Linked DNA regions of Sus scrofa. The protein of the gene in region 1 interacts with the protein of each later gene in a biochemical or structural test. Links are inferred from orthologs where the notes say so. Each region holds a gene or a part of one and is shown on either strand. Other genes may lie near its edges.

The links.
Region 2: the proteins of KLHL20 (region 1) and DAPK1 are reported together in a solved structure, tested with the Homo sapiens proteins (2 studies listed by BioGRID and IntAct, with this or other methods). The link is inferred for Sus scrofa from reciprocal best matches to the Homo sapiens genes KLHL20 and DAPK1.

Annotation. Positions count from the first base shown.
Region 1 is NC_010451.4:116,074,921-116,078,566, reverse strand, and holds part of KLHL20 (kelch-like protein 20), read right to left. Parts: intron 3,311-3,646; coding exon 3,177-3,310; intron 1,950-3,176; coding exon 1,741-1,949; intron 42-1,740; coding exon 1-41. UniProt on the Homo sapiens protein: Substrate-specific adapter of a BCR (BTB-CUL3-RBX1) E3 ubiquitin-protein ligase complex involved in interferon response and anterograde Golgi to endosome transport.
Region 2 is NC_010452.4:27,738,059-27,741,704, reverse strand, and holds part of DAPK1 (death-associated protein kinase 1), read left to right. Parts: intron 1-497; coding exon 498-686; intron 687-2,705; coding exon 2,706-2,903; intron 2,904-3,646. UniProt on the Homo sapiens protein: Calcium/calmodulin-dependent serine/threonine kinase involved in multiple cellular signaling pathways that trigger cell survival, apoptosis, and autophagy.

The DNA.
Region 1 (3,646 bases):
CCAACAGCCATGAGCTGTCCATTCACGACTGCCAGGCCAACCTATGGGACCAGAACACAGTGGCTGCTGAAGAAACTAGAGAATCACTAGGAAAATTTAGACTGGTTTCTAGGTTAATCTCTTTAATAAAAGATAGTCCTTTAGGGCCTTACATTCTGGTTTACTTGAACACAGAGGGAAAAAGTAGTCACAAAAATCTATTTAACTATGGGAACTATAATATTATATATTCAATTAGAATATTTACACAGAGTCAAAAACATTTATTTCTTAAATTTTAGGTGAAGCAATTACTGGGAGTAAGCAAGAACCTCCAAACTGCTCTTAATTGTTTTGGTATTTGCCTGTTCTAGTCTACTATGTAAATTTCCACTGAAATTCTCTTTAAAATAGAGATCTAACAATGCTGTCACTTTCTGCTAAAAATTTTCTACCTCCCTAATGCCTAAAGGTAAGTGTAAAATCCTTATGTCATTCAGTTCCTCCAGACTTCTAATGCACTCTATGCTGCAGTAATGCTGGTTAATTGCTAGTCCCAGAAAATACCCTATGTTTTTATACCTACATATTTTGCACATGTTATTTTCTGGCTGGTGTTTTCTTTCCCTCTTCTAGAAAACTGTATTCTTCCTTCATGGTCTAGCTTACATGTAACTTACCCTGGTAAGTCTCTCCACTGTTCCAAAAGCATTGAATGTACTATTCCATGTTCTCCTATAATGCACATGCCGCTACAACAGAATGTGTTTTCTATAGTTAGAAAGAAACACTTCAATTTCCCTCAACAAATTGGGAGCTCCTTGAGGAGAGGAATCAGGTCATGCTTATGTTTGCCTTCCCAGCACACAGTAGGCACTTAATATTTGCTAAATGAGTGAAAATATAATCAACACAGTGTAGCAGTGAAAACAACAGGAATGTGACTAAGAAGCTGTTATTTACCAGTAATAAAGAGCCATAGATATGTGAATGCTTTGACTTGCTGATGCCTACTGGTGGTGTTCCTGCTGTGTGAAAACCAGAATTTACTCCCTTTTATTCTCAGGTTATGGAGTCTTTAGCTGCAGCTGAGTTCTCCCACCTATTATCCTACATTGATGGGCTCATGATATGATCAGTGGTTTATGGCTTGCACTTCACTCTGAGCCAAATGTCTTAGGATGTATAAATTCTATAGTCCACTCTCGAAGTCTCTTGCAGTCACAGGTCATTGATGGTCTAGAATATGACATAGGTCAGCCTGCTCTAGCCTATACTATAAATGGGATAGATGCAAACCAGTTTGTGGAGACTAGTGGTGGGGTCAGATAGGTTTCTGCTTTGAATTGCTAGGCCAGCTACTTAGAATATTACCTAAAAACATTAGGTAGGAGGAATTAACTCTAAGAGATTTGGATGAATCCATATACCTAATAGATATCAATGAATATGAGTAGAGTTAGATATGGTAGTAGCTAAGACAGAGAGATGCCTTTCAGAGAAGCAACTGTTACAAGATAAATCATAAAAAAATCATTCTCTAATTAAATATATGATTGGCTATAAGATATTTAATGACTTGAGATAACAGTAATCAAAAGAAGTTAACTTTTTTCCCAGTAGAAAAGTAGCAGGAATTGTAGTGCCTATTCAGTGCATCTCCTCACTGACTCAGTGTATTATATTTTACAGATCAGACTTCCCCTTCTGCACAGCCCTCTCCTGGTTCTTGTTTTTCAGTTTTCAGTAGTTGGCACTTACTCCACTACGGCGGGATGTCATAGCCACCACTGGAGACCACTGGTTAGTTCTGGGGTTATATCTCTCAGCACTGCTAAGCTCTGTAGTGTCATCTCTACCTCCTACGGCATAGATCATGTCCTGATACACCGCACAGCCTAGGTGTTTCCTCCGGGTCCCCATAGGGGCTATGGTGTGCCATCTGTTTTCCTGAGGGTTATAACGCTCCACTGCAAGGAAAAGAAAAACCAGTAAGTGACTATTCAATCATTTCCTCTCACCTCTAGCAACACTGTATCCTTAACCCTCTGAACGAGGCCAGGGATTGAACTTGTGTCCTCATGGATGCTAGTCAGATTAATTTCTGCTGAGCCATGACAGGAACTCCTCTAGTTTTCTTTATAGCCACTTTGCTTTGTGATAACATATTTTCAATAAGCAATCTCATATTTGCTTCTGAGAAGGACTTACCCACCTTTGAATAATACCACTATACTCTTGTCAGGGACTGGTTTCTTTTAGGTATGGTTGGTGGAAAGGGCAAATGTTGGAATCATGGTACCTTGTTCTAGTTCTGGCTATATAACTCATTAGCTCACTGACTCGTGGCCTCTCTCCTCATCTTAGAATGTTAGACTATATGATCTGTAAGTACCATTCCATACTGATAACTTGTTATAAGCAGACAATTTTTTTTTTTGTCTTTTTGTCTCTTCAGGGCTACACCCACGCATATGGAGGTTCCCAGGCTAGGGGTCGAATTGGAGCTGTAGTCCCCAGCCTATGCCAGAGCCACAGCAACACACGATCCAAGTTGTGTCTGCAGCCTACACCACAGCTCACAGCAATGCCGGATCCTTAACCCACTGAGTGAGGCCAGGGATCAAACTTGTGTCCTCATGGGTGTTAGTTGGGTTCGTTAACCGCTGAGCCACGACGGGAACTCCAGCAGACAGCTTTATTCTTGTTCCCCACTGCCTTAAATTCCTACTATATCCCAAGCCACCAAGGAAACAAGATATGTGACAGTCTGATGTCAGTGCCACACTGACAATGTCCTCAGGCAAAAATTTCTTTAAAGAATACCAGTTTATAGCTATAAACCAGTTTATAGCTGTGTTTTTACTTATTTTTAGATTATAACATAGAGGGTTTTGGGGTTTGTTTTTAAAGAAAGATAGTTGAAAGGAGGGGAATAATCATATTAAGAAAATAGTTCTTTTATTCATTATAAATTCCCACCAACTTGTAAAAGGAAGGGATAAAGAAATGCTTTTGGAATATACTAGTAGTCTATGGCTGCAGAAGGAGCTGAGGAAGAGTTAAGAGATGCACTCTAAAGGGAAAATAACGGTCTTAAATTATAGGATAACTTGGACTTGTTATACTTTTTATAGGAGGACTCTCCTAAGAAAACTTGCTTTGGGGGAACCAGACTGACCTTAGAAGAGACTAACCTGTGTTGAGTGGAGATGTCCCATCAGAGCCACCTACAGCATATAAGAAACCTCCTAACACAGCCACGGCCACACCCAGTCTTCTGGTACTCATTGAAGCCACCCGAGTCCACTTGTTCTCCTTTGGATCGTACCTGTGGTGAGAGAAACCAAAGACTATATATGTGCATGTTTTTATTAAGTGAAGCCTTTTCCATAAGGTATGAAATCATGCTAAGGATATGTTAGATACATAGACTTGCTATGGTCAAATGGACAGTGAGAATCTAACATATTTTACTTTATTAGAAAAAAAAAGAATTAGTGTCTGCATCACTTATTAAGCTATCTTCTATATGCTGATTTATGATGCTGGGGCTAGAACTCTGAAAACTACATCTCTCCTTTGCCAAGCTGGCTCTCTTTTAGATTCTGCCAACAGGAAGGACTAGACACTTTCTGTTTGTTTGCCAACGCTATCAATGTTGTCT
Region 2 (3,646 bases), on another chromosome or scaffold:
TTGCAGATGCAGCTTGGCTCCCCCATTGCTGTGGCCGTGGTATAGGCCAGCAGCTGCAGCTCTGACTTGACCCCTCGCCTGGAAACTTCCATTAAAAAAAAAAAAGGAAAGAAAGAAAGAAAAGCAGCAGGGAGTGAGGAGGGAAAAAAATGCCTCAGCCTTTCTCCCCTCCCAGCCTCTCCATGGCTTCTGCTGAAGGACCCTAACCAGAGGCAAATGACAAGACAGCCTGAGAGATGGGGTCCATGGGGTCAGCCTGTGGGGCCACAGAGCAGTGCAAGGAAGGATATGGGGCGTGGGGGGTGGTGGGGAATGGAGCCAACAGAATCAGCGCAGCGTCCCTGGGAAACGTGGCAGCCCAGCCCAGCTCACAAGGGGCACACACACAACCCAGCCTGAAGCAGCGGTGGGATGGGGACCCAGAGGGACCCAGAAAAGGGGACATCCAGGCAAAGGCTGGGAGGAAGAGTCTGACCTGCTTGCTCTCTGGCCCACAGTCTCCGTGAGCATCAACAACCTGTACCCCGGCTGTGAGAACGTGAGCGTCCGGAGCCGCAGCATGATGTTCGAGCCGGGCCTCACCAAGGGGATGCTGGAGGTGTTCGGGGCCCCGGCCCACCACCCGCACTGCTCCGCCGATGACCAGTCCACCAAGGCCATCGACATCCAAAATGCCTATTTGAATGGTATGGCCCGCCCCTCCAAATGGGAAGAACCTCGAATTTCCCTTTGGCCTCAGTTTCCCCCAGGAAGCGGTGGGGGCAGGCATCCGTCACAGCTGTACAGGGACAAAGGAAGGGCCAGCGCAGCCCGAGGACTGAGCCGGGACTGGAGGAGTGATTAATGCCACCCCCTCAAAGCAAAGCTAAACACCTTGGTGTCCCCAGCACCTGGCAGAGAAATGGGCACACAGCAGGTGCTTAATAATGACTGATGTGGAGTTTTCCTCGTGGCGCAGCGGTAACCAAACTTGACTAGTATCCTTGATGATGTGGGTTCGATCCCTGGCCTCGCTCATTGGGTTAAGGATCTGGCATTGCCGTGAGCTGTGGTGTAGGTCACAGACGCGGTTCTGATCCCAAGTGGCTGTGGCTGTGGTGTAGGCTGGCAGCTGTAGCTCCGATTCAGTCCCTAGTCTGGGAACCTCCACGTGCCGAGAATGTGGCCCTGAAAAGCAAAAGAATAATAATGATGATGATGATAACTGATGGGTAAATTAATACACCTTTTCAAGTAGTGTCCATGTGTCTGAGCCATCTTTGGGGGTTCCTGGAGCCTTAGGAATTCCAGGTCAGAATCTCACCCATGACACTTCTGGGAAAACCAGCCACACCCACAGCTCATGTAACTGCCCCCTTCCACACACACACACACACACACACACACACACACACACAACCTTCCTCCCCAGCCTAACCCTTCTGCTCCCTCTCCCAGTGTGGGTGGCCTCTCAGACCCAGTCTCCTCACAGCTCCACTCACATCCTTCTTGCAAAAAAACTGCTCATCAACTACTGCATCTTACACCTGTGCATGGTGCCTGCTCCCTTCTGACCTGCCTGGACTGGTCCCTCACTCACCTGTGGAAGGTGAATTTAGTTACTAATTCACCGAAGTTAAGGTTACATTTCTTTTCTTTTCTTTTTTTTTTTTTTTTTTTTTTTTTGGTCTTTTTGCCATTTCTTGGGCCGCTCCTGGGGCATATGGAGGTTCCCAGGCCAGGGGTCGAATCAGAGCTGTAGCCGCCGGCCTACACCAGAGCCACAGCAACGTGGCACCCAAGCCGTGTCTGCAACCTACACCACAGCTCACGGCAACGCCAGATCCCTAACCCACTGAGCAAGGCCAGGGATCGAACCCATAACCTCATGGTTCCTAGTCGGATTCGTTAACCACTGAGCCATGACGGGAACTCCAAGGTTACATTTCATAGTGAGTATACACCACTATTTGGGAGTGAAAAACCAAGTGTATATGTAACTCATACATCTTTCCATTGCTGCTTATACACAAGCACATACACACACTGTGTGGAGTGTTAGAGATATAAGTCCAGATGCAGTAATGAACGTGCAAGGAAAATGTATAAGCAGAAACAGAAAGAAGGTTTAGGAACCATGAGGTTGCGGGTTCAATCCCTGGTCTCGCTCAGTGGGTTAAGGATCCGGTGTTGCTGTGACTTGTGGTGTAGGTTGCAGATGTGGCTCAGATCCTGTGTTGCTGTGGTTGGGGTGTAGGCTGGTGGCTACAGCTCCGATTGGAGCCCTAGCCTGGGAACTCCGTATGCCACGGATTCGGCCCTGAAAAGAAAAAGAAGTAGATTTAGAGATATATAGATAAAAGGCATGGAGGGACTTCCCCTTCTGGCGTAGCGGGTTAAGGATCCAGTGTCGCCGCAGCTGTGGCTTAGGTCCCTGGCCCGGGAACCTCCACATGCCATGAGTGCAGCCAAAAAAAAAAAAAAAACCAAACAAACCACAAAAAAAACAATAATAGACATGGATATAGAAGCAGACAACTACAAATATGTATTCCATGTGTAGATCTATACATAAGTAGATGCAGAAATAAATAGATGGTGGATCCATAAATACATATGTATGTCCCTGCCCCTGCGGGTGATCCCAGAAGTGCTGAGAAAAATTGATTATGATTGAAATTTGGTGGTGGTGTTCCACGACGCTAATCCTCCCTTTTTCTCTGTAGGAGTTGGTGATTTCAGCGTGTGGGAGTTCTCTGGAAACCCCGTGTATTTCTGCTGTTATGACTATTTTGCTGCAAACGATCCCACATCCATCCATGTCATCGTTTTCAGTCTGGAAGAACCCTATGAGATCCAGCTGAACCAAGTGATTTTCTGGCTCAGTTTCCTGAAGTCTCTTGTCCCGGTTGAAGAACCCATAGGTGAGCCTGGGGGAGGGAATACCCTTCTTACTGGCCTTGCACCCAGGTCATCCCCGGATCCTGTAGCTTGTGGTCAGCAGCTGCGCCCACCCCTGTTCCTCCCTCCTACCAGGAAATTTCCACTCTGGAAGGTCGCTGAGGCTCAGCTGTTAGTTTTGTTCTGCCGGGCGTTGCTTTGCAAGCATGTATCTCTGCCAGAAAGACTCGATTCTGAGCAGTTCCTTGAGAATTATTTCTCACTTTCTTTCTACATTTTAGAGCTGCAGTCATTTTTGTGTGGTGCAAAGTGGACTACTTCTTTTGGTAGCTCCTGTACCTTTACCGAATGGCAGAGTAGCTTCATTCTGTGCTTTCATCAAAACTGAAAGAAAAGGGGAGTTCCTGTCGTGGCACAGAGGAAACCAATCTGACCAACATCCATGAGGTTGTGGGTTCGATCCCCGGCCTCGCTCAGTGGGTTAAGGATCAGACGTTGCCGTGAGCTATGGTGTAGGTCGCAGATGTGGCTCAGATCCCAGGTTGCTGTGGCTGTGGTGTAGGCCAGCAGCTACAGCTTTGACTCAACCCCTAGCCTGGGACCCTCCATGTGCTGTGGGTTCAGACCTAAAAAGACAAAAAAAAAAAGGAAAGAAAAGGAACCATATTGACTGAATGCATTGCCTTAGCTTTATTCCTAGAGGAAAAAGACAGCATGGATTAGGCTTATTTTATTCTTTTCATACCAAAAAAAAAAGAAAAGGAAA